Linked DNA regions of Mytilus edulis. The protein of the gene in region 3 binds, or shares a complex with, the protein of the main gene of each other region. Links are inferred from orthologs where the notes say so. Each region holds a gene or a part of one and is shown on either strand. Other genes may lie near its edges. The genes, in order: mortality factor 4-like protein 1, ruvB-like 1, histone acetyltransferase KAT5-like and vacuolar protein sorting-associated protein 72 homolog.

The links.
Region 1: histone acetyltransferase KAT5-like (region 3) and mortality factor 4-like protein 1 share a complex: the UniProt entries of both Homo sapiens proteins name them as parts of the nuA4 histone acetyltransferase complex. The link is inferred for Mytilus edulis from reciprocal best matches to the Homo sapiens genes KAT5 and MORF4L1.
Region 2: histone acetyltransferase KAT5-like (region 3) and ruvB-like 1 share a complex: the UniProt entries of both Homo sapiens proteins name them as parts of the SWR1-like complex. The link is inferred for Mytilus edulis from reciprocal best matches to the Homo sapiens genes KAT5 and RUVBL1.
Region 4: histone acetyltransferase KAT5-like (region 3) and vacuolar protein sorting-associated protein 72 homolog share a complex: the UniProt entries of both Homo sapiens proteins name them as parts of the nuA4 histone acetyltransferase complex. The link is inferred for Mytilus edulis from reciprocal best matches to the Homo sapiens genes KAT5 and VPS72.

Annotation. Positions count from the first base shown.
Region 1 is NC_092347.1:28,692,873-28,700,693, reverse strand, and holds the start of mortality factor 4-like protein 1, read right to left. Parts: upstream 3,017-7,821; 5' UTR 2,930-3,016; coding exon 2,902-2,929; intron 1,016-2,901; coding exon 969-1,015; intron 1-968. UniProt on the Homo sapiens protein: Component of the NuA4 histone acetyltransferase (HAT) complex which is involved in transcriptional activation of select genes principally by acetylation of nucleosomal histones H4 and H2A.
Region 2 is NC_092344.1:87,608,039-87,615,852, reverse strand, and holds the start of ruvB-like 1, read left to right. Parts: upstream 1-4,797; 5' UTR 4,798-5,087; coding exon 5,088-5,228; intron 5,229-7,814. Other genes in the region: coiled-coil domain-containing protein 146-like, read right to left, coding at 1-185, 756-838, 1,104-1,262. UniProt on the Homo sapiens protein: Possesses single-stranded DNA-stimulated ATPase and ATP-dependent DNA helicase (3' to 5') activity; hexamerization is thought to be critical for ATP hydrolysis and adjacent subunits in the ring-like structure contribute to the ATPase activity.
Region 3 is NC_092346.1:17,925,666-17,933,123, reverse strand, and holds the start of histone acetyltransferase KAT5-like, read left to right. Parts: upstream 1-4,457; 5' UTR 4,458-4,458; coding exon 4,459-4,497; intron 4,498-4,599; coding exon 4,600-4,657; intron 4,658-6,963; coding exon 6,964-7,032; intron 7,033-7,458. Other genes in the region: DNA-directed RNA polymerase III subunit RPC6-like, read right to left, coding at 4,136-4,194. UniProt on the Homo sapiens protein: Catalytic subunit of the NuA4 histone acetyltransferase complex, a multiprotein complex involved in transcriptional activation of select genes principally by acetylation of nucleosomal histones H2A and H4.
Region 4 is NC_092344.1:122,279,710-122,286,602, reverse strand, and holds the start of vacuolar protein sorting-associated protein 72 homolog, read right to left. Parts: upstream 3,005-6,893; 5' UTR 2,911-3,004; exon of another isoform or gene 2,845-2,910; intron 1-2,844. UniProt on the Homo sapiens protein: Deposition-and-exchange histone chaperone specific for H2AZ1, specifically chaperones H2AZ1 and deposits it into nucleosomes.

The DNA.
Region 1 (7,821 bases), on a different chromosome or scaffold from region 3:
CAATCCGGCATTAGTTATGGATAAAATATAGTAATATTTTTTGGTCGGAAAAGATATTATATAATATTTTTTCCGTACGGAATATATATTACATAATATTTTTTCTAATCGGAATATATATTACATAATATTTTTTCCAATCGGAATAAATATAACATAAGATTTTATCATTTTTTTCATTTTAATGAGTGATATGTCAAAATGATAAAAGTCAAAATGTTATACCAGTCATAAGATAAAAATTCCACCATAATACTTATTCCAAAGATAATTTATTATGTAATAAAACTTCCTATTGGAATATATTTTATGTGATAAAAATTCCGAGGCATCGGTCATTTTATTATGTTGATTGAATAAATATCACATAACAATAATTCCAATTGGAACTTTTGTTACATAATAAATTATCTTTGGAATAAATGTTATGACAGAACTTATATTCTGTGACATGGGGAGAGTGTAGAACCAATACTAAAATAATAAGAACACATTACTCTGAATGTGCTGCCAATCACAGAAATCTTACAGCAAATGTATACACATTAGTTTGTGCATCATAACTAAATAGCATAAGAAGAGAAATATAGATTCCACTGTTGTAACAAGTATGTTACGATATTTCTCCCCTCAAAACTGATAAAAACTGATAAACTAACAAATGTAAAGATTTCAATAAAATATGTAAACCTTAAAAAAAAAAAAAAACTGATAAATTCTAATATTAACAGGAGGCTTAAACTTGTTCCTTTTTCAAATATTTGCAGAAAACTGTGTTCTTTATATGTGACATCATTAAGCATGGTTGCCTTTTTTCGTGTTGTCACAATAGAAAATTCAGAAGAAACCAAGAAAATTTGACTTCACAATTAAATTTCGACCAATCATTTGCAGAGAAGAAATACTTTTCTCACAACGAACATGAAATGTGAATATAGCACAAAAATTAGAGAAATACAGATACATACCTTTGCTTCATATAATAAAGGTCCATGGAAGCAAAGAACTTTCTCTCCTGTAAAAAATATTATATTTGTTACTTTCATGTTTACTAATATTTCACCAAATCATCAACATGCATGTTCAATATTAAATTAATGATCCATTAAGTGGCTACTATGTATAAAAATAACTACAAAAGATTCTGACTCTTTAAGAAACAATTTGAAAAAATGGAAAACAAGACAGTGTCCATAGTCATGATAGAACTACATGTACAAAGATGCCCAACTCACACTCTCTTTTTCTATGTTCAGTGGACCCTGAAATTGGGATCAAAACTCTAATTTGGCATTAAAATAAGAAAGATCATATTTTAGTGAGCTTGTGTACTAAGTTGTTTTTTTTTTTTTGTGTACTAAGTTTCAAGTTGAATGGACTTTTGGACTTTAAGGTTCATCATGACAAACAGACGAACATGGCTGTATTTACATGCCAAAAACTACTCTTAGTACAGACTTACCTGTGAAGTTGGAAAAGTTTTAATGCCTAGCATCCACTAGATAAATGCATTTTATGTTGCAGAAAGATAAAATCTCTTTTGGATTTTGATGGGCATTTTTTTCCTTCATGCATAAGGTGTGAAAATTAACTAAGTTCAAAGTGGTACAACTTTGAGATGCTCCCTCAGGTAAAAAACCGGTTTGTATTGTTTTGATTGTCCTTAATTGACATGGACAAGAGGTATCTTCACAACTACAGGTGAGTTAAAGAGTTTATCTGAGTCAGTGAGTGGACAGTATCAAAGTAATTCAGATGTTTGTTTATTTTTACACCTTCTGCAGAAAGGAAAAAAAATGCCCATCAAAAACCAAGAAAGATGTTATCTTTCTTAAACATAAAATGAATTTAACTTTTATATATCTAGTGGATGCTAGGCCTTAAAACTTTCCAAACAGCACAGGTAAGTCTGTACACAGAGTAGTTTTTGAGGTGAAAATACAGCCACATTTGTCCACTTGTTATGATGAACCTTAACTTCATCAAAAACTACCTTGACCAGAAACTTTAACTTAAGCGGGACAGACGGACAATGAACGAAAGCACAGACCAAAAAACATGATGCCCCTCTACTTTTGTAGATGAGGCATAAAAACAAGTATGACAGACATAAAACAAAGACAACAGCTGAACTAAAGGCTCCTGACTTCGGTCAGACACACAAAGAATGTGGATGGGTCAAAACCGGTAGAATAAAATCTTATGGTTTCGATTACAAATAACTCTGTTCCTGTTCTATTGACAGACCCAGCCAAGTGCAAGTCCTATATGGTTTCAAGCAAAGGTGCATCTCTGATTTCCAAATGGAATAATGAAAACAGTACAATACACCTTTAATTGTTGCACCAATTAACATGATTAACCCAAGACCTGTGCCTGTTGAACTATTGATGTCATACAACAATCATTTTTTCTTTGTGGTGTCAGATACTTTCTATTATAATGCCAAAATTATAAGGGAACCTTTGAAAAGTCCAGTAATAGCAGACAAATACTAAAATAGTGAAATGCACAATTTACAAATGTCGAAATGGATTTTAAAATATATGTTCCTTCCACATCTTTCACTTGTAAAATCTTCCTGGAATAAGTCATTTATAGCTAAACAGATAAATATTCTAGAGGACATGTAAAAGGGGGAAAAGGGGGGTAATTTTTCTGGATTGTTTGCACAGGCACTTGTTTCTGGCAATGTTATTTTTCGTACGGGTGTGGAAAGTAAACCGCACATAGATAGAAACAAGTGCCTGTGACTTTTTGGTGTAAGCGAGATAAATTTGTTGTGTTTGTATAATTTTTGGAATTGTAACAAAACAAAAATCTATCGCAGCGAAAAGACAGGATGCATGTCTATTTATAAATGTCAGATTCATATAATTACTTAATTATTGCATCAACTACCTTCTTGGAACTTATATTTAGGCGGCATTTCGTTTATCCAAGCTTAGATAGTTTAGGGAAAATGTTTGCACATGTGTTTACGTCATCAATTTGTGTGTGAAATAATTTGAGACTGTCTAAAACACGGAAGTAAAAAAAGACGGAAATAAAAATTGATACAGTATTCTAAGTTATTTCTCAAAAATAGCTCAAAATAGATTTAAAATTGAAACGGATTTAAAAAGTTGAACAGAATGGTCTACAGTTTAAAACATTTATTTTTTTTAATTTTTAATTGCATTTTGACCAAAAATTGTTTTGGTCAAAATGCAATTAAAAATTAAAAAAAATATATCCGGCAACTTTGAAGATCTTTGAACACAATTTCACGAGAAAGTATACAAGAGAGTCTTGAGACCTTTGATATCTGTATTCTTTAAGTCATTATGTACATTTTCTCTATTCTTGCTTTATTTTGACCATAGTCTATTTTCTTTATATTTTAGCGCCAAATTATTCTCTATTCTTCATTTGATCTTCCCTTTTTTTTTATTCAATTTTGTATTTTTCTCCTTTTAAAATATTCTGCAAATTTTCCCAGTGTTCTCATTGGTTAAACATGGATACAATGATATGTTTCAACATATTTTAGATGTCGTCTAATTAACCACAGAGATGATCTCCGAAGACTGCCGACGGCCGTTATAAAACCTGATAGGAATATAAATAGATAGCGACCATGTGCAATTGGATTTTCTAGCGGTCTGTTATATTTCATACGGAGATTAAAAAGTATGCCATTCACCGCTTTACTTGAATAAGAGGAGGTTTTTTTTGTGGTTTGAATTAGTCAGTATAATGGTTCATCCTTATTTAACACTCAATGTTAACAAAATGGTTAACAATATTCTATTCCTTTGCAATAGCTCAGAATACAAGTGTTGCCAATCTTTAGCAGAGATGTTTGATTAAAGATCACATACCCGGTAATTACGGATTCAATGATGTCGAATTAATCACTTAAATTGTACGTGAATAATCAATCAGCGATATGATCCAGTCCTACTTTTCTTTGCCTGACCAAATTGAACCAAATTGGCTGCAATTCTAAAAGCGAATTATCACTCGCTATTTCACTTTCATTACAGTTAAAATAATAGAGCATGCAAACCAAGAATATAAATGCCTTGCTTGCCAACTTTTTTTTTTTTTGCTCAGACATCTATAATACTAAAATTACGAGGTCCAATTTGTCAGCCGTCATCACGTAAAAACGACGAATCAAAGAATTCAACTTTATATACAACTAATAAAGTACAAATGTGTAGTTTAAAAATTACGCCACTCCAGGCCCTTTTGTTTTCCAAGTAATTAATATTGCCAATAATTAGGAAGTTCCGGGTCGATTCCGATACCGATACCAATAGTATAATCAAATGTTACCTATTACCTTATCTGTACGTTACGCATCTGACAGGCGCACCACCAAACGGTGTATTCAGGATTAATATGCTTTATACACGGGTCATAATCACAGGGTTGACACTACTAAATTGTCAAATTGTTACCTATTGTAGTATTTTAATCCGTAAGACTTTCTAAGATAACAATACGAATACTAAAAATCTGGACTAAAAATAAGTTTCAATTTGTTAGCGGGCATGACGTAAAACAGCGAATCAAAGAGTTCAACTTTATTTATAACTAATATAGGACAATGCTGAAGATTAAAAAATACTCCATACCAGGACCTTTTGTTTTCCAAATAATTAATATTACCCATAATTAATAAGTTCCAGTTCGACGGGTTCAAACAGAAAGATTTGAAAGCAGAGAAAATTGTGTATCTTATAATCGGCATGACTTTATCAGATGCCAGTACTAATACAAAGATAAGGCTTGCGCATAGTTATATACTTTAATTCAGTCACGGACCCGCGATATCACGGGTGTGTTCTAGTTGTAATTAAGATTAACACCTAAATTCAATGGGTAGCCAGGTGGAGTATATATAACAGTCTGTTTACTATACACAAAGGTTTTATTGGTCAATTAATATCAAAATTGTTTCCAATGTAATATCCATTGTCCAACCAACTATTTTTTTATATAGTAAACAAACTGTTTCTCCGCCTCTCCTTTGAATTCAGGTGTCAATCTTAATTACAATGCCTGAGCAAACAACCAAACAAAGTTGGCAAGCAAGGCATTTACAAACTCTTGGTTCGCATGCTTTTTATTTTAACTGTAATCACTGAACAAAAAAAAAATCATTTTTTATTTTTTCTTTATCTCGTAGCTCAGTAATATGCCCTTAAATAAAGGTTGTTAAAATCTACAACTACAATTACGAACATTAAATGTAGTATATTCATACGTGTTTATCAAGATGAAAACTCTACATATTGGGGGTTTTGTGTTGTAATCTCCTGGGAAGAGGATAACTGACAATATACTGTCCTGGCTAGGTTGGCTCGAAGAAAATATGGCAAGTTTATATAGAAAAAAGCGGACCAAACATGCTGCTATATAAATCATGATCACTATAAAAGTAGCAACTCATATATTTAAAAAGTTTTCTATATAGCATTTTCAGAAAACGACATCTGTAAGGGACGACATCAAAAGTTCAATGTAGGATAAAAAACTTAATTCACATAGTTTTTTCGCTAACCCCCTTACCCCCCTTCTTAACTTAATTTGGGAAAAATTGATTTACCTATATGGATATATGTAAAATCGATTTTAGATTAACAAAACTTGCAGCAATGTTGACCCATTGTTCCACTACTAAATTGTCTATTCTTCTTACCAGCACACTTGGTACAATTAAAACCCTGATAATAAATTGTTCAAATAAGGCCTTCGAAAATAGTGGAATTAATTACTTTTGGAGTGTCAAGAACTCGTTGGAAGTACTTGATAAATTGCATGCTTATATTGGTGATTTTGAATCTGTTCAAAGTTTTGATTTTTCTACCCTGTATACACATTGCCTCACATTCTCATTAAGAAAAATTCACACACCTAATTAAATGGGCATTTAAAAAGTCAGAATGTGAATATATATGTTCAAACTCTTTTAGGTATTTTTTTAGTAGCAATAAACAAAAAAAACTATGTCAATTGGACATGCTTTGATACTATATATGCCCTTGAATTTTTACTAGATAACATTTTTGTTCGCTTTTGGGATTCCGTATACCGTCAGATTATCGGTATTCCAATGGGGACTAACTGTGCACCACTTATTGCGGACCTGTTTTTGTATTGCTATGAGTTACAATTCATGACAAAAATAAGCAAAGACCCATCGAAACAACATCTTATAAACAGATTTAATAATACTTTTAGATATTTAGGCTCTCAATAATGACGACTTCAGTATGTATATTAAAGAAATTTATCCTGTTGAACTTACTTTAAATAAAGCTAATATTAACAATGACCACTGCCCTTTCCTCTATCTTGATATTTATATCACTAACGGAAAGCTGAATACTAAAATTTATGATAAAAGAGATGATTTTTCATTTCCTATCGTTAATTATCCATTTTTAGATGGTGACGTTCCCTTGTCACCATCTTACGGTGTTTATATATCTCAACTTGTACGATTCGCTCGTGTATGTAACAATGTTTTAGATTTTAACGAGAGAAATGTATGTATTACTGAAAAATTATTACACCCGGGTTTTCGATATCACAAACTAGTCAAAACATTTACTATAGTAATTTTATCATTGGTATATGGACATCATTCGTAAATATAGCTCAACATGCAGACTTCTTATACGTTCAGGTATTTCACATCCAATTTTTTATGGAAATATTCTTTATAAAGCACAAAGGTGTCAGTATTCACCTCAAAAACTAACAAAACCTTTGAATAGACTTATTAAGAAGGGATATAGTTACGATACTGTTGTCAGGTCATTAAAGATTGCATATGTTGGCGTTAATATTGATTCACTTATATAGGGTCTTTGCATCGGAACTAAACACATTTATTAAAAAACCAGTTGTTGGCATGACACGGGTTATGTTCTTCTCATATATGTTATGATGGTATGATACTAAACCCCTAACGGGAAGGATTGTGCCTGATGTTCATATGATGAAATCATAATCTTTCAGCCTCAGTTTAATTGAAGTCTGGAGCTGGCATGTCAGTTAACTGCTAGTAGTCTGTTGTTATTTATGTATTATTGTCATTTTGTTTATTTTCTTTGGTTACATCTTCTGACATCAGACTCGGACTTCTCTTGAACTGAATTTTAATGTGCGTATTTGTTATGCGTTTACTTTTCTACATTGGCTAGAGGTATAAAGGGGGGGGTTGAGATCTCACAAACATGTTTAACCCATCCGCATTTTTGCGCCTGTCCCAAGTCAAGAGCCTCTGGCCTTTGTTTATAGTCTTGTATTATTTTAATTTTAGTTTCTTGTGTACAATTTGGAAATTAGTATGGCGTTCATTATCACTGAACTAGTATATATTTGTTTAGGGGCCAGCTGAAGGACGCCTCTAGGTGCGGGAATTTCTCGCTACATTGTAGTCCAAATAATTATGACGTCTTGAAAAGCTATTATAATTTTTTTTCTTTGACGCCTTTAAAATTACTTCGACTAAGGCGTCAAAGAAAAAAATTATAATAGCCTTTCAAGACGTCATAATTATTTGGACTAGCTACATTGAAGACCTGTTGGTGACCTTCTGCTGTTGTTTTTTTTCAATGGTCTGGTTGTTGTCTCTTTGGCACATTCCCCATTTCCATTCTCAATTTTATTATATATAAAGAATTACGTAGACAGGACTGACTGTAACAAATCTAACAGTAGTCCATCATGATGAGTCTAAGCGAATATGTGTCAACCTGGACATCTCTCTAGAACACTCAACACTTGAGCATACAGGTTAATATAAAAGAAATGCAGAGT
Region 2 (7,814 bases), on a different chromosome or scaffold from region 3:
CTCTGTCTAATATTTCATCTTTAGCATTTACACTTTTTAAGATTTCTCGTCTGATATTGACCACTTCCGAATTAGAGGTTTTATCTGGTAAATTATCTGCCTTCTCCAGCTCTATCCTCTGCCTTTCAAGTTCTACTTGTACTTCTTTGGCCTGCTTCAGTAAATTTGATTCATTATCTCTTGTTCTGTTGAAGTAAGATCATATTATAAACAATTATAATACTTAATCAAATTTTATAAAAAAATATTGTAGTTTCCATAAAAACAATTCACATTAAATATGTCAGAAATAAAATATAAGTCCTTTAGGGTTTGTTTGAAATGGGTTTTTTTTATTATTAAGTTAATATCAATATTTTTTTTCTTCAAAACTTGTCAAGACAAAACTGTCAGAAAAAATAATTATCCTTTTCTGGAAAATGGTCTTGCTATACATTCCATCTTTCTTTGGGCTGTTCTAAAATGTTCATGTAGTTGGTGGAGTAGATTTGAGACACTTAAAATTATCAAATATGGGTGGTTACATTTTTCTTAGAATTTTTAATTTTGAGTGGTCAGGGTCTAAAATAACCTACCCCTATGTGTTTGATTCTGGAACAGCCCTTAACTCAAGTTAGGAGACAATTGAAGTAGATAATAATTATATAATTATAAAAAAAATTCCACAGACTTTACAAAAGCCAATTTTTCTATTTTTGAAGTAACTTATTCAAAACATTGACATATCTTCGAAAAATAAAAATAAAAGTACTCACTTTTTCAGAGTTTCATGTAAATCTGTGTACTTTGCTTTCAGATGTGCCAGTCTTGTTCCAGTTAATTTACCATCTTGAAACAACTAGAAATAAAGAATATAAAATACAATGTACTGCTTTATAATGATAAGGAAATTATACTGTAAATGCAGTACACTAACCAAATCTACACTTACCTAAGGACCACCAATTTATACACCTTGTATAACACAAACATGATTAGTCATTTTAGTCTTTAAGGTTTTTTATAGGTTTTTTTGGTATCCTGTAACAAGTAAAAATACATGGACGATTTTGTTCTCTTGTAATTGTAATGAAATTGTAAAACTCTAATTTAAAGATTCTAACCTCGTCAAGACATTGGAATGCAGGACTAGCTGAAACCTCCACCTGACTTTCCTCTTGTTGTACCACTCTAGGAGGAAGTGCAGTCAATGGCTGTGTGTATTTCTGTGGTTCCTCTTCTGTCTCATCTTGGGAATCCTCTGTGGGCTCTGGACTACTCATATCTGTGTAAAAGACAATGAATCTATCAAAATCAAAATTTCTATTGCATTTATATGGTGTTGAATCTCCCTTAAATGCAATATTGAATATATTTGTAATTGACCTTAAACCTGAGGTTATCTTAAGTCTGTCTGACATAAGATGCAATTCTAGATAATTTAATGCATGCTGCCATTTACATGTAAGTGGTATGGTTGACTTCTAAATATGTACATTGTACATGCAAATCTGTCACAAGTGTTTCCAGAGAAGAAGATATACAAGTTAACTATGGTTTACAGATGAATTGACCCTATAATCATGATATGAAAAATTTAAATTCTAGTACAGCTCACACGACCCTTTTGTCAAGGAGAGCTCAAAAAGTTATGGTTTTAATATATAGTTAGAAAGTAAGATTAATACAATGTACTGTGCAAGATTTTTTCTCTCTTCAAAAAGCAGATTCAATCATGATCAAGATTACAGTAATTTGAGTTAGACAAACATATTGAAGTGGGTCCTACCTGCTGCCTGTGAGATGTAATCAGCGACAATCTCCTCAACGACAATTTTATATCCAAAAATCTTAGTGTACCTATCGACGGACCTAGAGCGTTTTATAAGGGGAGGATGGGTAATAACGTACTCCTATTACTAAACCTTAGCGGAATGATCCTGGTACATGTATCTTATTTACATCTATGGTAGCAATTGAATGGCTCTGGTAACAGTATATATCTCTTATGAACAATACTATGACAATAAACAAATAATATAATAATATGCAATTTATTCCCTTACTAAAGCAATATTCTCTTATATGGTAAAAGTATGTGTGTCGAGTTACTACTATCTTTACTGCTTTATAAAGTGTGTTGTCCTATAAGGCCTAAATACTTCGTAAAACCTATTCAGAGCTAATAATTCCAATATAGTCTTCAATTTGTTTTAAAACACCTTGTATTATATAATTTCCAAAAGTGAATTCTGTATCTTCATTTATATAAAGTATATATAGAAATCTGCTTTACCAGTATATGGGTTGTTGGAAACATGACACACTTATGTGTGTTGACACCGTGTCGCAGTGTTGATTTGTACTGAATCAGTATAATTTGCTTAAAGTAAATTAAGGAAAGTTATTGACAATGATAAATTGTAAATAATATTGAAATATTATTTTAACCCTTTTTAATATATTTATGATCCTATATGCTAACCTTAAAACAAGAATATGTAAGCAGCTTTAGTTATTTGAAAGTCGTAGGAATGGCGCCCAGACGAAACGCTTTCGAGACGCGACGGCCATACTTCCATGACGGCCCTAGGATGTGTCGGCCATACCGTCATATCGTCCATGGGACATATCGGCCACACATTGTGAGACGTATCGTCCACACTTTTAAATTTTTTTTTATTGAGTTTATTACATAAAATATAATACAAAAAATAAGTATTTGTTCATAATAATAACATAAATATGATTGTGTAGTACTTTTTTTCTGTACAGAAGATTTTATTTATTCTTGTAAGAGTTATCTTTGCTTGATCATCATCGCTCGTGTTTACAACTTGTTGCGGCCATATTATGTAAGTATATTGATTATTTCTTCATTGTCAGTTGTAAACATTTTCTGAAGAATCATTTTTATTGTAATGTGATATAAAGGCATCATATTTTATATGAATTTTAAACTGTAGGAATGTTGACTGTCGCTGTCAATGACGATATATACATACAAGCACATGTTACAGATCTTTTTATTATATCTGTAAAAAATATATATTATTCTAAACTATACAAATCTTCTCAATCTCAGTCTTGGTGAAATTAAAAACAGGACTCAGTGTAAAGGTTAACTCTAAGGAAGGCAATTCATCAAGTTCGAGTTATATTTGTCATGATCATCAGACACATTGTTTAATAATTCTGATTTTTTTTTCTTTCTTATAGTTTAGAGTCATTCTATTTGCTGAACATCTTTCCAAGACAGAGACTACTGCAGAATTTTCCAATAACATAAGAAATTACCCGTAAAATCTGACAGGAATGTGCACCCGATTGGCTAATTACATGATAAAAGATGGCCAGTTTCATTTTTATCATACTGAATGTTCTTTTTGCTTTGTTCATTGTGTTGAATTGTGTTGAAAACAATTTGTTGACAATTTAAATGTTCTCATTTTTGTGCATTTGTTGATGGATAATTGTATTATGGGCAATCATACCAATATACTCTAGTATAAGAAACAAAAAGATGATATTTTTTTTTAATATATTTTATTTATTCATTCAGTCATACAGATAAACAAATAAACACCAAACATATAAACCTTCTTCATACATACAACATACACAAACCATTCATATATACATTTCGTTCATACATGTAGGACATTCATCTAATATACATTTTTTAAATAAACAATCTCTTACGTTTTCTCTCATATGCTCTTGTCACTCATGCATTTATTCCACTGCATACACATGTCTCCCAATATTTAAACATTTATATTCACAAAAGCACTAAAACATACCAAAATGCACTATATTACGATCATGAAGTCACTACAATTAACACTTAATCAGACTCGTAGTCGGAATCTTCAGAGTCGGACTCTGGGAGGGTCTCTGGTTGAGGAACAGGTGGTGCATGCAGATGGCCTACCGAACGGAGAAAGTCGGATGTTCGGATACTGTCTTCCTCGTACTGGTCCCACAGTGAAGTTAGACGGCCTTGAAGCTGCTTGTATGTGTCTCGTTGATAGCGGCTGAGTTGCTGTTCACTCACAAGCTGCTGTGTGATGGACACGGTCTTGGCTTCCTGTTGGAAGGCTGGCACAATCTTGTAGAAATGGAGGTGGTTGTGGGCAAAAAAAAACCATGGACGATACGTCTTTACAAAGTATGGCCGTTTTTGTACTATGGCCGTTTCATCTTTTCGGGGTATGGCCGTTTCATCCTATGGCCGTCATGGTAGTATGGCCGTTACGTCTTGCATCGGACGAAACAAGACTCAGAACCCGAGTGCTTAGTTGTCGCAAATTCATATGCAAGTACGACACACTAAGACACACTGTGACACACATTTTGTATAAGAATATAGTTGAATTGAGGTTCACTTGTGTGAGTTCTGACATGCAACCTGCACTTTCCCATAGTTCAAATTGTGTCGTAATTTGTCAACAATTTGTCTTAAACGTTAATTTTTGATGCATGACATATAATTCTATTTTCTATCCCCTTTAATTTTAAAAAATGCTGAAAAGATTTATAAAGGATTGGAGTAAGGATATGAGAAGACCTATACAGCTATAGGACGCAAATTCTGGTTGTTGTCTGTTGACATCACTTATCGTTTAGTAATTAATTGTTCTTTTACCTTTTGATTTATTGAAGAAACTACCTCTTTGCTATTCCCAATAGCGTGCAAATGCACGGCTATCTGTTAAAGCTAATAATTACTGTAAATAATTTAGTGTCCAATTTGCTTGTAAATAAATTTGTTTCTATGGGCTTTACGCATGCGCCATAATAGGTTTACATTAAGTCGTAAAATATTTTCTTTTAAAACCGAGATTAAGCAGTTATTCTTTAAGCATCATCTGATTATAAATAAGTCGTTATAGATATATTTTAGAGGTAATTTATTAATATATGCAAAATCATAGAATTTTAGTGTCGTAAAGTATACGAAAAAAATCTGTGTGATTTTAACGTTTTAGAAAAGGAGATTTAAGTTGTAGACAATAAACTTGTTTTTCACGATTGTAGCGTGCCGGTTCGTGTAAAGTTTTGTTTATAGTTGCACTGCGTAGTTATAACTCTGACAAAGAACAAAGATGAAGATCGAAGAAGTGAAGAGTACCACGAAAACTCAACGAATTGCTACACACAGTCACATTAAAGGATTAGGTTTGGATGAAAATGGCTATGCAATTCAGAATGCAGCTGGTTTAGTCGGACAAGAACTTGCTCGAGAGGTATAAATTTCTAGAAAGTTCTAAACATTGTTTTCTGCTGATTAATTATAAGAATACCCAAATTTGAATTTTGAGAACAAAAACATAACACTTGAAAAACCAGTGAAATTCATCTAAATCTTTATTTTTATGCTATAGCCTTAGGTTGTGCTGGACATACACCTTATCACAATGTATTTAGAGATCTGTTCCGCTTGAACTTTTACAGGATTTTTTGTGATGTCCAGTAAAGGCAGACAAACTGTGATAAGGTGTATTGTCGATTTGTAACTAGAACTAACCTAGTAACTAGGTTGTTATACAGAACAGAACAGAACAGAACATATTTTATTTCCAATTAAGGGCCCACAAGGGGCATACAGAGCATACATGAATAAGGCAAAAGAATATTGATTTGCATAGATACATAGATACAAACAATTTTTTACATACAGTTACAATACAATTACTAACTCATATTCACTTTAATAAATTTACCAACAGCATTAAGGACCTGATTGTCTTCACAGTTTAATAAATAAATAAATTTATGCTGATTATCAAGTATAGAAAAATTCGGAATTCTTTGGCAAACAAAGTCAAAGAGAGCATCTCTATCCGATTTAAAATTTTCACAGTTAGTTAAAAAATGGATTTCATCTTCAACACAGCCAGAGGAGCATTTTTTGCAAATTCTTTCATTTCGTGGAATATTTGAAAAACGACCAACTTCAATTTGAAGCTTATGAGCAGAAATACGTAATTTGCATATAGATCTTCTAAAATCAAAGTTCTTAATTAAAGAGAGATAATTTTCATAACCAAAATTCTGCTTAAATTTCACATAATTAAACAGTTTTCCATCAGAAGCTTTATTTTGGCTAGCATACCAATTGCTAATATATTTAGTGTGAATTAATTTACTAGATATGTTCAAAAATTTATATTGTCCGAAATGTTTTACTTCTTGTTTAATTTCAAAAACTTCTAACACTTTTTTAACAAATGAGAACCAAGAAGTTATGTTAGATTTGTGAAGCTCTTGGCTGCATTTATAAGCATCTTTCAATAGACTGAATTCAGTTGTAAGATTTTATATGTATTGTACATGTATGAATATGAGACAGGTTTAAGACAGTCAGTAATATGAGGCAGGTATAACCTAAATATGGGCCGTTTGCTCAAAATGAAATTGTAATAAGATACAATGTTGGTATAAATATTATATCAAGCACATACAGTCAAACATTGGTAAAGCTGACCCTGAATTAACTGGTTTCCCCTCTATTCCAACTAAGAATTAAAGTACGATTTCCCCCCTTCAAAGTTTTTGTTTTTAATAGTCTACAATTTACAATGACAAATACTTTTACATGGAAAATATCTGATGACACAAGTCAATATCTCCCTTTCAAAATGGTAGCCTGTATAAACCACCACTGTCCAAACCAGCCCTTGCATTATCCCAAATCTGGCTGTTTTATACAGGTTTTACTCTAAAGTACAATTGTTTTTAGTACAATCAGTTTATCTCAGTCATATATGAAACCTCAAATTAAAAAAAATGATGTATATGACATTATGTTTTTTATAACTAAATGGAAAGTTTTCTTTATAAAACTTATGTACACATATACTTTTCTCTGAAGAAAATTCTTTTAAATCTTAGAAGAAGTTTACTTTTTTTTAATTGCTTGCTTCCAGGAATCAATATGCTGACATATTTTCCGTATGCAAGTGACCTTAGCACGACCCTTCTCTTAAAAATCAGGTGAACGCAATACGCATGTATCTGTCATGGAAATAAACTATTATCTGATGGTACTTGTTATACACGTGCTCAATATCCATGCTTCTTTGTTTACTATAAGGTGACAATCAAAACATGACAAACAATTAGCTGCCATATTTTCACATCATAACAGACAGAGAGAAAAAAGAAATCGACAATTATACGATATGTTTGCGTGAAAACCTGATAAAATCAATCACAGAAAACTAAGTTGATGATATACACATGAATTGGTTCAAGAATTGGATAAACATAATTTTTCACTAGTCACTCGTTTCATATGTCTTTAAAAAGTACATTATTTTAAATAAATCTTTTACTGTATATCTATATCTCTATTATGGAGAAGACGGAACTAAGTTGAAAAACTTGTGTCTAATCCATTTGTTTTGAACAATAAAATATGTTTAAACTATATACTTCCAGAGACAGAAATAGTGAATTATTATATATATATATATAATTTTATATATAGAGTCTATAAGAATCTACCAACCAGTTAACTTAAGGTGGCTCGGGACTATTCGACTGCGCATAATTTCACGCATGAATTACAAAAGTATTTGTCGTAAATTCGATCTATTTTTTTTAAATATTTTGATTGATTAGAAATGTTAAATCATTGTAGTTTTGTGAATAATAGAATATTTTCGTTATAATCCGTATTTGTTAGAGGGTCAAAAGTAAAATCACAAAAATACTGAACTTAGAGGAAGATCAATTGGGAAAGTCCATAATCACATGGCAAAATCAAATAACAAAACGCATCAAAAACGAATGGACAAGAACTGTCATATTCCTGACTTGGTACAGGC
Region 3 (7,458 bases):
AAACAATTGTATTGAAAAGAGAAAATCGAGTGCACCTTTTCTTATGTTAGGGTGTGTTTGAGATGAATATTTTGTCTTGAAAATGTACAAAACAAGAGTATTTGATACATCATCTCGATTCAGACTCTATCATTTTATATAGCAAAGCTACAGGTTGACTTTATAACATAAAAAAAATCACAGTACTAAAAGATGAAATATAGGGGTCAAGTGAAATACCTATCCAATGGATCACAAAATCAGAGTAGGTGTGTTCGAATAGCTATTTTACTAAAAGTGCTTGACAACAGTCTTTAAGTTGGATCTCTGAAAAAAAAATTGTCTTCCGTTTCTACGATTGTGAAAATGAACAGATAATTTCGACGAAGTAGAAGCCTGTCTGTATTGTATATTTACAGGTAAGGAAACATGTGAGAATATGTGTCATGTGATGTTTTAAAATTTAGTGTCCTTAACCTCCAACATAACGTCCAATAAAATTTAAGTATGATGTATACAAGCTGAAGCCCCGCCTATCTTAATTACCATGCTTGAGCAAACATTGATACAAACAAAGCAAGCAAGCCAAACAAAGATTTGTCTTGCTAGCATTAATGTAAAAGCTGTAATGAAGAACCAACTACTCATCATGAAGTTCCTGCTTCACATACTTTATGAATTGTGTCGTAGTTCAGAAATAAGATGTGTGTCTATGGCTGAGGGTTGTAACTTGTAATGGGGTACCTTCATGATCAATAACGGTAAAAATTCTTGACAAATGACCTCAAGGATGTATTCTTCTGACTTTTCAGTCTCGTTCAGTCTCGTTGAAATCTCGTTCTTGAATTATTTCCAAAACATGAGATACAAGTGGAAAATATCAATGAATTTTAAAAATATTAATATCAAACATAACTCTGTGAAAAAAGTGTGTATTTACAATGAATGGTTTTTGAGTAATCCAGTTTTCAAATTTTACAACCAATCAAGTCAGTATTTTGTAGCCAAAATTTTGAGAAAATGGGTTAGGGATACAAAAAATGCTATTACAAGAATCATGTACATCCCATATCATTTTGGTGTTTTCAAATTTCTGAAATATGTATTTTTTAATCATTTATAACAAAAAAGTTGAAATAATATGCATTTTGTTCTTAAAACTGAGAAACATCACAAAAATACAAAAAAGACAGAAATTTAACACAAAAAAGCGTCAAAATATGATAAAACTTTCTTATATTAACACCTACCTATAGTTTTTCAAGTAAAATTTATTCAGATTGGTCCACTTCATCTTTAAAGAAAGTATGAAAAAAAGTTTAATTTTGGAACTGTGATTTTTTTCACGATAATAGCCCAAAAATAGATAAAAAACAATGAAAAATGGGAAAATCATCAAAATAAGGCATTTTCAAAGGGCCGTAGCAAAAAAAGAAGTGCACCATCATATGATTTTTTCTTCACCAATTATTTTGTTAGTCATATAAACCCAAAGATCAGGTTAAGAAAAAAAGTTTAATTCTAGACATTTTTTACTCCTTAGACAATGTCAGAGGTGTACATCCTTAACTGTAATTTTTGGTGAAAATTTTGTATGATGATAAAATGTACACTTAACTTTAAGATGATAAAGACTAATTTTGACGAAATTGTAACGGTTTATTTCTTCCTCCGTGATATTTTATCCTGAGGATAATTTGACCCGGTCAATTTTTTCCAGACATGGAATTTCACAGGTTTGATTTTTCCTTAGGAGTGAAAATATATCTGTGTTATGCGGATAGTATGAACCGGTAAATATTTTCCGTTCTATATTTCACAGAACCTTGTGAAATAGAATCCCGCTGACTACTATGTAAGTTACTCGCAATCAATATATACCTGACAATAATTACAAATATATCACAAAGGTAAACAAAATTTGCATATTTCATCAATCAAAGGGAGGTAATTTTGACCAATTTAAATGGTTTTTATAAATTATATTGTGGAAACCCTTTTTTAACAATGCAGACTTTTTGTAAATGACATATATTTTAGGTAGGCAAATCCAGTGTCGGATCATGGGAGGATTCTGGGGGTTGAAACCCAGGGTATTTTTGGACGATTAATGCATAGTTTAATATATTAGATAATTCCCGCGGCACGCAGTAAAGCGTGAATTTATTGTCTTCTCGGTAAGGTATTTCCGAGGCGTAGGAATTTTTGGCGCCAAAAATTGTAGTGGTAAATAGATAGTTATATGAGTATCATTTCTAGCCTTGCGTTCGTACTGTGTACATCAAATTTTTTCATATAAGCATAAAGAATGCTCAATTTGACAATTGTTAATTGTTAATGGTCTGTTATATATAGTTTATATATATATGGTATGGCTATATAGACGTAATCGGATTTGGATTGTATGTTGTCTTATAAATTTTTTATAGCCGTAGTCTTCGGACTAAAACTCCCTTTTATTAAGTTAGATTGAGCATTTTTTGGTACATGAACATTTATGTTATATGAGTGCGGTCCAACACTTAGTTTCGCTTGGCATTGACAAAAGGACGCAGGTTTCCAAAAGGTTTTTCCTGATCGGCCACGAAACAGTACTTTGTGTGTTTTGAATATTGATAATTTGGAAGATGATGGCAAATAGTATTTTGTATATATGTTATGTTGTTATAATATTGCTGTATTGTAATAAAGCGGCAGCTCAGAAAAGATATACGCAGCGAGCTAGTCAACAAAATATACGCAGCGAGCTAGTCAACAAACTTAAGTTTGTAGTTGAGTTATTTTTCTTAGATGCTAAGGTACATGAGTATAGAGAAGACCATCGTATTCTGATCCTTCCATTGCTACTCACTGTTTACAGTAGTAATGACCTTTAATTTTATATTAGTCCTGAAATCTGAAAACAACTCACTTTTACCTGAATTTCACTTATCTTATTTTATGTATATTAAATTAATCATGATGATATTTCACAATAAAGATCTTTAAAATTACTTCTGGTTTTCTTTCATATGTTTCATGATAATTATCTTTTTCATAAGAAATATTTTTACGTCTTGAATATTTCAGGATATTATTTTCAATGATAATCTGTGAAATATTTTCGCTTTAAAATTCACATTTTTTTATCCAATTTAGCATTATATTCAAATATACTTTTGTTATATCACAGTATTTGTCAATAATTAAGTTTTTTAATAACTATTCATTTTTTTAACTACCCGGATATAATTTCACGGCAAAGGAAAAAATTTCCCAGGGAAATATTTTCCTCCGGATAAAAAAACAACAACAACTACTGTGACATTTTTTCCTCGGGATCAAATTTCACCCGGATATAATTTTGCTTTACAAAATCACGTTAATTTTTTTACAAAAATGAAGGTAACAATAATTATTTGAAACCTCTGACGAATCACACTGAATCACAATAAGGGTATTTTGACAAACGGCGGTAAAAATCTAAACACAATTTGATGCTAACTGTATCCAAAAATTACTGTTTGAAGTGTGACGGGATTGCTTCCCTTAGAAAACTTAGTAGATACTTAGTCAGCCGTAAGCAGTTGAGCTAGGGAAGTACTTCTTGAGCTCAGTCGGTTAACACGCTGGCTAGTAACACAGAGGTCCAGGGTTTGAGTCCTGGTGGAGACAAGCAATTTTGTAATGAAATTCATGCTCTCCTGTTACATTGGCGCCCAACAATAAAAACCCACGGTTAGAAGAAATACCTAGTCAGGTAAAAAATAAATATAAAAAAGATGAAGATATCATCATTATAGAGTATAATGACTCTTGAGGTGTGGGAAGTGTGACGGGATTGCTTCCCTTAGAAAACTTAGTAGATACTTAGTCAGCCGTAAGTGGTTGAGCTAGGGAACTACTTCTTTAGCTCAGTCGGTTAACACGATGGCTAGTAACACGTCCTGGGTTTGAATCCAGGTGGAGACGAGCAATTTTGTAATAAAATTTATGCTCTAGGGTTACAGAAGCCTGACGTTAAAGGGCATTACTACCCTCATGGCTATACTATGATCTATGTAAGGATTTGTAAAGTAAGATCTGACTATACAAATCCTTGGTCTATGCAACTTTCAACTTTAATGCAAGCTTATAAAAACTGATTTCATTTTAAAGATTTTAGGCAAAATTTAACCTGTTTTCAAAATCCAAAGTTTCAGCCGGTTCTTCCTTCACACCCACAGCTGAAGCCATAACTTGGTCTTTTATTTATGTACGAAAATCAAAAATAATAAGTCGAAAGGCATGTGGACAAAGTGAAAGTACAAACAGGAAGTTGTGTGTAATTCTAGACTCGCACGCAATAATTCTAACTTAAACTTGTTTTAACTTTTAATAAAATGAAAATTTGTCAATAAAAACAATCGAATGAAGGTATAAATATTTATTTCATTATTACAATTATTACTTTTATTTTTTTTAAAGGAAGCCATGCGTAAAAATTGTTTTGTGCATTCAATGCAGAGCTACAATATGACCGTGATGACGGAAGTGCAGGTCCCTTATATTTTTTCAATTTTGAAGCCTTTAACCCTTATTTTGACCTATTTTGTCATGTCAAGTTATATCTTTGAAATTATTTTTATTTATATTTTTCAGACTGAAATAGTAGAAGGGTGTAGAGTGCCAGTTTTATTGAAGAATGGCGATGGATGGCGTAAGTTATGCTAAGGGAGACAATCAAATCATGTAAACACACAATGGGGTCATAATATGGAACATTCAAATGTGTGCAAATATTTAATGCATTACAGTTATTAAAATATTTATGCTTTGTCTGTTTAAAAAATATAGTTTTGAAACCAGATCCTTCCGTAATGACATGGAAATGATTCTGATTTATGTGACCATTTTTTTCTCAGATTATCCATCATTCTAGTAAAGCTGTATACACCTCATTGCTAATCCAGGCTGACCCGAGAATCTGTCCAGCTTTAACTATTGACGTTATATAACAATCACTTTTCCATTGTGGTATCAGATATTTTGTATTAAGACATCAAAAGAATATGAGGCAGGCATTACCTGTGAAACGGACGAAATCTGTATGCATATTTTTTTTTGTCGTAACGTTTCAGATTTTGGTTCTGATGTTTTTTATGTTATGACGTCATATTCAATGTTAAAAAAGAAACAAAGAAACGCTATCATCAAATTCACCTGACAACTAGACCGGTAAAGAAAGTAGATTTCTGAGCAAATGCAGGAATTTAAAAAAGTCTGAAAATAATTTTGAGCTCATTAGTAGAATGAAAATTTTGGTAAATTTCCTGATTTTTTAAAATTTTGATTTAATTTATTTTATCACATATTACTGGAACCTGTGTGATGTCCAGGATTGAGGAATGGCAGACAAATAGCGATAAGGTGTATAGCAGGGTCTGTATGGGTCCTTGAATCCTGGAAAAGTCATGGATTTTTATTTTTTGGGGGAAAAGGCCTTTAAAAGTCATGGAAAGCTATATTTTAGTGAACAGTCGTGGAAAGTTATTATTGTTTGAACTGTAAACTTTATTAGGTGTCTATAAATATTTTTCATAGTTTTTGTCAAAACTGTTTCCTCAATAGAGCTACAAACAATGTCCCAGTTTGATAGCCAGTCTTGGTAAATGTAAAATGAGGATTTCAAAATTCGCTTCTTCATAATTTTTGGTAAAACTACATGTATATGACTGAAACTGGTTCCCTGTATGTCAAAAATTGTTGCAGTTTGCTTCATTCAATAACATTATCAGTATAAGATACCAGTTGTCGAATATTTTTAAAAATGTCTAGTCAATGATCAGTTGATTCAAGAGAAAAATGCCTGGTTACTGCCATTTTCAGTTTAAATGGTTGGAAAACCCAGAGAGGCAAAGTACAAACAATGGCTGGTGTAAAAAAACAACGGAGAATCTGCATTGAAAAGCCACTGTAAGAGCTCAAAACACATCCAACACTCAACTTAACTGAAAAGTTTCAACATTTTACTACATTATTCAATTGATTCAAATATTTCAAAACTTGAATAAACACTTATACTGATGTGTAGTTCATCCTCTTTCAAAGAATTTATATATTACCCTTTGGTTTCCTGTTTTTTTGGGTATGGAATTTTCATAAAACATCCTTGAAAAGTCATGGAAAAGTCATGGAAAAATGGAACAGAAGAGGCGTATGAACCCTGGTATAGATGATATGATGACTTGCCCTAATTATAGCTGATTTTATGATGACAAGTTATTTTTGTGAAAATCAATAAAATATCGTTCAAACTAAGTCACTTCAAATTTGTTATAATCACATTGATTTCATCACAGAAGGGTACAGAATGCAAATGAGGTATTAATACAAATATAATATAATACAAAAATGGTGCTGATACAATCCCAGTATTTGCTTATTTCACTAACCATTATTAAACACTTCAAATTAAATAAATCACTCTTATATTGGTAATTTTTTAGGACAACTTATATAATTGCTTCACGATAATGACGTCACATATTTCATTGAAAAAGTATGCATAGTACGAATTTATATTATGTCCTACGAAAACATGATCTGACTTTAATGCCCCATGACAATTTTATTTACATCTGCATGTATATTTGTGCACCATTTCTAAAAACCATAAAAAATTCTGCAAAAATTTGACTTCCTAAAAAAAACAATTGAAATTGTTGCAAGACATCAGAAAATTATTTAAAGATAGATATAGGGTCATTCGTGGAAAATTCAGCTGAACACTAAAAAGGGTCATTAGGTCTATATGTAACCATTTTGAGCTCTGTTTGTTATGTTCACCTTATAGGAAATTGAAAAATGAGTTTTCTAATATCTATCCTTAAATAATTTTTTCCTTCATGTAGAATCCTATTGTTTATTTTGGCTTTATTTGTCCATAAGGGAGAAATCTAACAGTAGTATAAAAACATTTTGGTGTTGCATTGAACTTTATAAAGATTTTTACATATTTTATAGACTTTGCTGAGATACTTGGAAAGAAAGAAGTCAATGGAAAGCACATGTTCTATATTCATTATGAAGATTGTAAGTATATTTGCAGTACACGGAAGGTTATTCAATTAAAAGTCAGTCTTGATGGTGATCATGAGTGATTCACTTTGGCATATGTTTGTACATGTGCTACATATGACATGGTCGTAAATTTGAGTACATAACTGAACACCAGCAACAACAGAACAATGAGGTTTTACTACTGTAAAAGTAGAAATTTTCGTTAAGGATTTAATTCGTTTATTTCTTGAAATAATATATCAGCGAAATTAAAAACCCCGCAAAATTTAAACTTCATATAATATAACACTTCCATTTAATGGAAACCATGAAATTTTGACCCCACGAAAATGAATGTTTCTACAGTAATTACCTTTTGGGAATTGTCTTTTCTTATCGTATCTAACTGTCTCAGTTGCATTGTCATAGTGTCCCTTGACTGAAGGAGGTTGTTATTAT
Region 4 (6,893 bases), on a different chromosome or scaffold from region 3:
ACTATGTACTTGGTACCTGTTATTAATTAAATGAATAGAAAATATTATAACAAATATTATTGGATGCCGAATTGACGTCAAATAGGTGCCGATTTGACTAGATGCCAATTTATTCAGGTGCCGACTTGACTTGTACGTTTCAATTCCTCTGTGATCGTTTGCGGTATTTTCTTGAGAAAACATATTTTCCATCATCAAAGAGAAAAAGAAACTGCTTGAAAATGATTCTGGAACGCTTCATGATTGTTTCAATAAGTTTAATTCACTCAAAAAACAATTTTAAAACTTGCGATGTTTAAACAGGAAGTTTCAAAAGCACGTGTAAAAGAAGAAATTAACCGGTGAGAGTGGAAATCCTTACATAACAGATATCACTATAGTACGACTTTGAAAGCAAAACAGTTCCATCCTTTTGTAAAACAGTCTTTAATATACCTATCACATTAATGTTTGAAGGGGCTTAAGCTTATTCAAACCATATAAGTCGGTATGAAACACCAAAACGGTATGATCAATAACCGATTACGTTTTGTAGTTTACAAATTCTAAACTGGTTCCTGTCAAACTACAACACTTTGTTCGAGTGTAGTGAAATACAAGCAGAAACCAGTTAGTTTGTAAACTGGTTCCTGGCTGATTACTACACAATGATCATGCATAATGATAACACAAGCAGATTCCAGTTTGTATGAAAAATAGTAAATACGAAACCAAGCGCGGTAGGCAGAGAAATGTAATGAAGTTCAGGTCGCCAGTAATGGAACAATGACTGCGTCATTTTCCAAAAACTATTCTTTTTTGACAATGTTTGAATTCTTATTCCTTCTAAGAAGAATTATACATTTGGTTCACAGTAAAAGTTAATACTAGTTGAAAATATTCCACTTACATGACTTAATCGATTGGTGTTTAATGCCACTTTCAGCACTAATGTGCTATTTCCTGGCTGTCAGTTTTTATTGGTAGAGGAAGCCAAATAGTACATTAAAAATATATTAATGTAGTTAGTATAGTTGAAAATATTCCCTTCAACTGATTGATAGGTGTTTAACACTACTTTCAGTACTATTCAGTATTGTGCTATTTAATGGCCATAATTTTTTTTTGGTAGAGGAAGGCAGTTTGCATGGAGAGAACCTTAGAATGACCTTTGAAAGGAAAACTGACAATCCTAGTCAATTAAGATTGAAGTCAAATGCATCTGCCATATGCAGGATTTGAGCTCACATCATTGTGTTAACAGTCTAGTGATCCAGTAGTTTCATAACTTACATGTAGACCACTAGGCCTCAGAGACTTTTACAGTTAGGCGTCAAACGGTCATTCTCTGCATCAGATATATACATTTATAGCATCAAATTAGTTAAAATATTACTATGATTCATCAAAACATACTTCTTATGATTCCTCAGAGGTGTCAAATGATTATCTTTACTGTTATATTTTTTGAAAAAAATTTAACATGATTCGTCATATTCAGTCAACTTATTTTCATCATCTACATGTAAAGGAAAATGTACATTTTATCGTCATGAACCAAAAATTAATGTTAACGTCATTTGGCAAGAATTTTTACTATTATTCCACATGAAGGTACCCCTATTGCATTACAACCATTAGCTTCCTTTTTATAAAGGAACCAATCAAAATGCGTTGTAAAAATAGATGCATTGACACTTGAGTTGACATATGCAATTTGTCTGCCATTACGTAAAATCACACAGGTTCCGGTAAACTTTGACATCTAAATTCAAAACATTGTTTTACACTAGTAATGTTGGGGCTCTTTATAGCTTGTTGTTGGGTATGAGCCAAGGCTCCGTGTTGAAGGCCGTACATTGACCTATAACGGTTTACTTTTATAAATTGTTATTTGGATGGAGAGTTGTCTCATTGGCACTCACACCACATCTTCCTACATTGTATATCTATATTCTACGCCACAATAAAGATGATTGTTGCTTGAGGTCAAAGGTGATTCTGAGTAGATCTAAGGTCATTGGGAGGCAAAGTACAGCTAAATACCAAAAGTGTACATACTTTTATAGATATAAAATCATAACAAGTTGTACAATTGTATCATTACGACATTAGCTAAATGTAAAGAACCAAAATAAGTCAAATAGTATCACTACAGAGTCTTTTTTTTTTATCTCCATTTGCCAATTGTATATTTTTAAACAATTAAAAAAAGCACACCTAAAGAGCGGCACAATTTTGCCATGCATATACATCTGTACATATGCTAAACAAGAATGTGTCCCCAGTACACGGATGCCCCATCTGCATTATCATTTTCTATGTTCAGTGGACCGTGAAAATGGGGGAAAACCTCTAATTTGGCATTAAAATTAGAAAGATCATATCATAGGGAACATTTGTACTAAGTTTCAAGTTGATTGGACTTCAACTTCATAAAAAAACTACCTCGACCAAAAACTTTAACGTGAAGTGGGACGAACGGACGGACGGACGAATGGACGGACGAACGAACGAAGGCACTGACCAAAAAACATAATAAAAGAATAGCATCCTTACGTATGAGCCCCACAAACGATATTACAAGTATCTTACAGGTATATATCATTACAATTACACCTTATATAGATGCTAAATTTTGATTGGTTGATAGCCAGTGTTTTTTTGCTTATTCTATAAATATTTTCCTCATTCCAAACGAATTTGCCTGTTTTACGAAAAATCGACCGTACGGGTGTGATTAGTTAACCCCACATTGGCAGAAACAAGTGCCTGTGTAAAATCTGAAAATTTTGCTGTATTTTCAAAAACGCGAATTTGTGTGTAGATTGTGCAGGCTATTGAAGAACCCTGCACAGAACTTACATGTTTTGAAGAGGTCTGTTACAAAATATGTTTACCAACTCTGATAGGATTTGCATAAATATATACCGAATGTAATGTTAGAATCAGTTCTTTTTTGTTTTATCGAATTCTTTTTCAACAGGAAACGAGGCTTTCGCTGAAATATTAAAGCCAATCACGGCACAAACCCGAAATTACGTAGATTTTCACATTTACAAAAATGAAGTTCTCGGAGACTCATCCCACCTTTTAAAAATGTATATGCCCTAATATTTCTTATATAAAATAAATGCATATGTAATGAATTATTGCGCATTTGCGACAAGTGCGTAGTTAATTTTAATTCTATTAATTGTCATTAAACATTTAAAATGTTTGACGGTGGCGATAAGCTTATTCAGGTACACCGATTTGACTTAACAATTTATAACAATGTAAAACATAATGACATTACATACTACTTGACCCCCTGTTAACCCAGACTTTTATTTGCAGATTACAGTATAATGTGCAGATATAGAATCTAAAGGTCTGTGTTAAACTCTAAGATTTCAGGAGTCTTGAGTTGACTAAAACTAAACGGTAAACCGTGTTATTTCGGGAATTTTTAGATATTGTGAAAAAGGTCATATGGCAATACATTGATGTTTTTTTCAACAAATGATTTGATACCGGGAAATTGGTGGTCTTACTTTAATTTAAACCATGTCAGCTATCTAGTTTTATGCACAGGCGCTTGGATATATGATACTGTAGCGATTTTAGTTTGACAGTATAATTATTATTATGTAAGATGTCTTTATTTTAAATACATAAGGGTTAAATTACATTTCTCAGTATAGCGCAATGCCCAGTATTTTATTTATCTGAACGGTATTTATAATTCATTTAAATTCACCACCCGGTATCTTAAGAACCGCCCGGTACCCCATCTTTGGAACCGTCGGGGTACCGTCCGGTAACCCCATCTTTAAAACTGTCAGGGTACCGCCCGGTAGCCAATCTTAAGAACTGTTGAGGTACCGCCCGGTATCTACAGAACCGCCCGGTACCCTATCTTTGGAACCGTCGGGATACCGCCTGTAAATATGTATATAAGGGGATGCGAGAGAGATCAGAGTGTAATAGAAAGAGAATAGAGAGATTTGAGATTGTTAGTTAGAAGTGTTGAGAGTAATATTGTGTTAGTGAATTAGGATGATTGTTCAACTGTTTTATTATGTCAAACTGATATACATTTAACAGATTACATAGTGATTTCAATTAAAACTTTGTGTTGTGGTTTGTTTTCTTTGTGCCATTTGAATATGGATTTCACGTAATTTACGCTACCAAAATAACACATCGACAAACACGAATCCATACAAAAACGACAACGCTACAATACAGATATTTTTTTTTAATTTTGTTGTTGATTAAGATGTTCAATTTTCTATATTTATAATACATATCTATCACTTCTGTGCATATCTCACCTACAGAAAAATACCTAATTTTGCAATCCATACTAAGAAAAATTGGATATGGTTTTATATACAAGAAGGCAGTTTCGTATTTTTTGATATCAAGTTCAATTCTCCATGCAGAAACGACCACTTTTTTCTGTGTCCAGTAGCATCGTATATTCTTAAAATATTTTCTCGCATAATGCCTGGACATCGGTGGACATGCAATATTTCACAGTGTGACACGTTTACAAATGAAAATCAACACTCAGACTAGTCATTAAGTAGGACAATAAATGAACAAAAGACAAACCCGGGACACAGAAGTACAAACAATAGACCATCAACTCTGAAAACCAAAAGTAAAATAGAAACATGGATTACGAAAAATATGCAGGGGCGACGGCAGAGAGTGAAGAGAATTTGCTTCTTGCAAGACACTTTCAGTGAAAACAATTTGATATGAAGACAATCTTTTGTTTTAGTTTTTTTTTTTTTTTTTTTAAATTTAAAACATGAGGCATTTGCCTCATTTGCCTCAATGTAGTTACGGCCCTGATATTATAACCTTTTACGAGAGTCTGTGGTTTCTCTCTATGCCAACAGCGTTCTTGTCACGAACATTCATCTAACATGTGCATTTTTATATTTAATAAGGATTTGGAGTATCATTCGAGGAATAGAAAGGCCATGTACATGCACTGCTTGAATATTCTCAATAGACGAGTACTGCTACCAAGTCTTTAGAGTATAATTATTATCAATCGGATTCCTTAGTATATCTGATAGCACCATTGATTGTAACATTTGAATTTCAGTGCCCTATAGTGGTACAGCACTTAGTCAAAAAATGAAAAACAAAGTGGAAGTTTGGAAGTTTATTATGATTCTTGCGGGTAACTTTTTAAAACGTTAAATAGTAAACATACCGTTTAAAGTTCAAACACATCAAACGAATTTAAAACAACATATTCCTGATTTGGTACCGGCATGGTTTAATTCTTGTTTTTATAGCTAGCTAAACCTCTCACTAGCTGAAACCATTGTGTCTTATGACGAGCCATTGAAATGACACAATGTACCTCTGATGTCAGTGACCCTAATGGTTTAACAGGAGACGAGTAAATAACGATCATAATTCAATAAAGTAAGCAAAAAGTAAAATAACAAAAATATTGAACTCAGAGGAAATTCACAATGGAAAGCCCCTAATCAAATAGTTAAATCAAAAGCTCAAACACAAAACAAAAATGGATAACAACTGTCATATTCCTTATGTCTGATTGTTTTCATAACGCATCGTTGTCAATATAATGGAATTTGATGCTACTGTCGTACAAGTTACAGGTTAAGCTAGCTATAAAACCCGGTCCAATCCACCTTTTTCTACATAATAAAGTACATATACCAAGTCAGAAATATGACAGTTGTTATCCATTCATTTGATGTGGTTGAGCTTTTGATTTTGCCATTTAATTAGGGACTTTCCGTTTTGAAGTTTCCTCGCATCTTTTCTTTTATAGCTTGCTAAACCTCTCACTTGTATGACAGTCGCATCAAATTCCATTATATTGGCAACGATGAGTGAATACAAAAACACACACAACAGATAAAATTTTCAAAAATAAGGGTACAGCAGTCAACATTTTGTTATAATCTTAATCACTATGAAATGAGACAAATGTGTCAACAAAGAAACTCAAAGGCATACAGACAAACATTCACCATAGCACAACAACACAATAACGGGATGTATAAGTACCGAGCAACACCTAATGGACATTATAAATAAAGACTAAAATTAGTAAAAAAAATATTTAGAAAGACAAAGAAAACAATACTATTAAATGTTATTAAGGATGTACTTAGGAGAAGTTATGAAATTTGTGTCAAATTCTTGTACTCCTTTGTATTTTTCATTCGATAGAAGGTAAAATATTTTACCCGATAACACCCATTTACTTTCCATATAAGACTTTAATAGCTCATAAAAATTTATTTACCGAAATTTTTAGATTTCATTTCTTTTGATTTGAGACCCAAATATTACCAATGAAAAGATAAGGTAAAAGTCTGAGTCAGCCTTTTCCTGCACTTTTAAAAAATAAATAAAATATCTTGAAAAGGAGCCCCATTACCAACAAATATTTTAGCTTTTTTTAAAATTCTAATGCTCTTCTAACTTATAGTATCAATTCTAAATTCTTAATTTTTTTAATTACGTTTTAAAACACGAAGTATTTTTTGTAGAAAAAGACGAGACGTTCTTTAACATACCCCTGATTCATCACATTTCTGCTCAGACACTCGTATCGTTTACAAAGTCTGAGTAGTAGCTTCATGCTCCTGAACACAGAATAAGTTGAGAAATGTATATCCCGTATGAAAGCGAAGTTGGTAAATTGCTACTAAGGTGGGAGAAATTCATAATTTGAAATTAAAATCATCTCGTTTGTCATAGATTCTGGTACTGAGATGACCGCTTATGTCAAGTTTGAGATATAAGTCTAAAAATGAGGCAGAGGCAGCCAAGAGTCATAGACGAAAACATCCCTTAATTTGATCGTTACATCCAAGGATTTAACGTTACCACAATGATAAAACACTGGTTAGGTAATACAAATT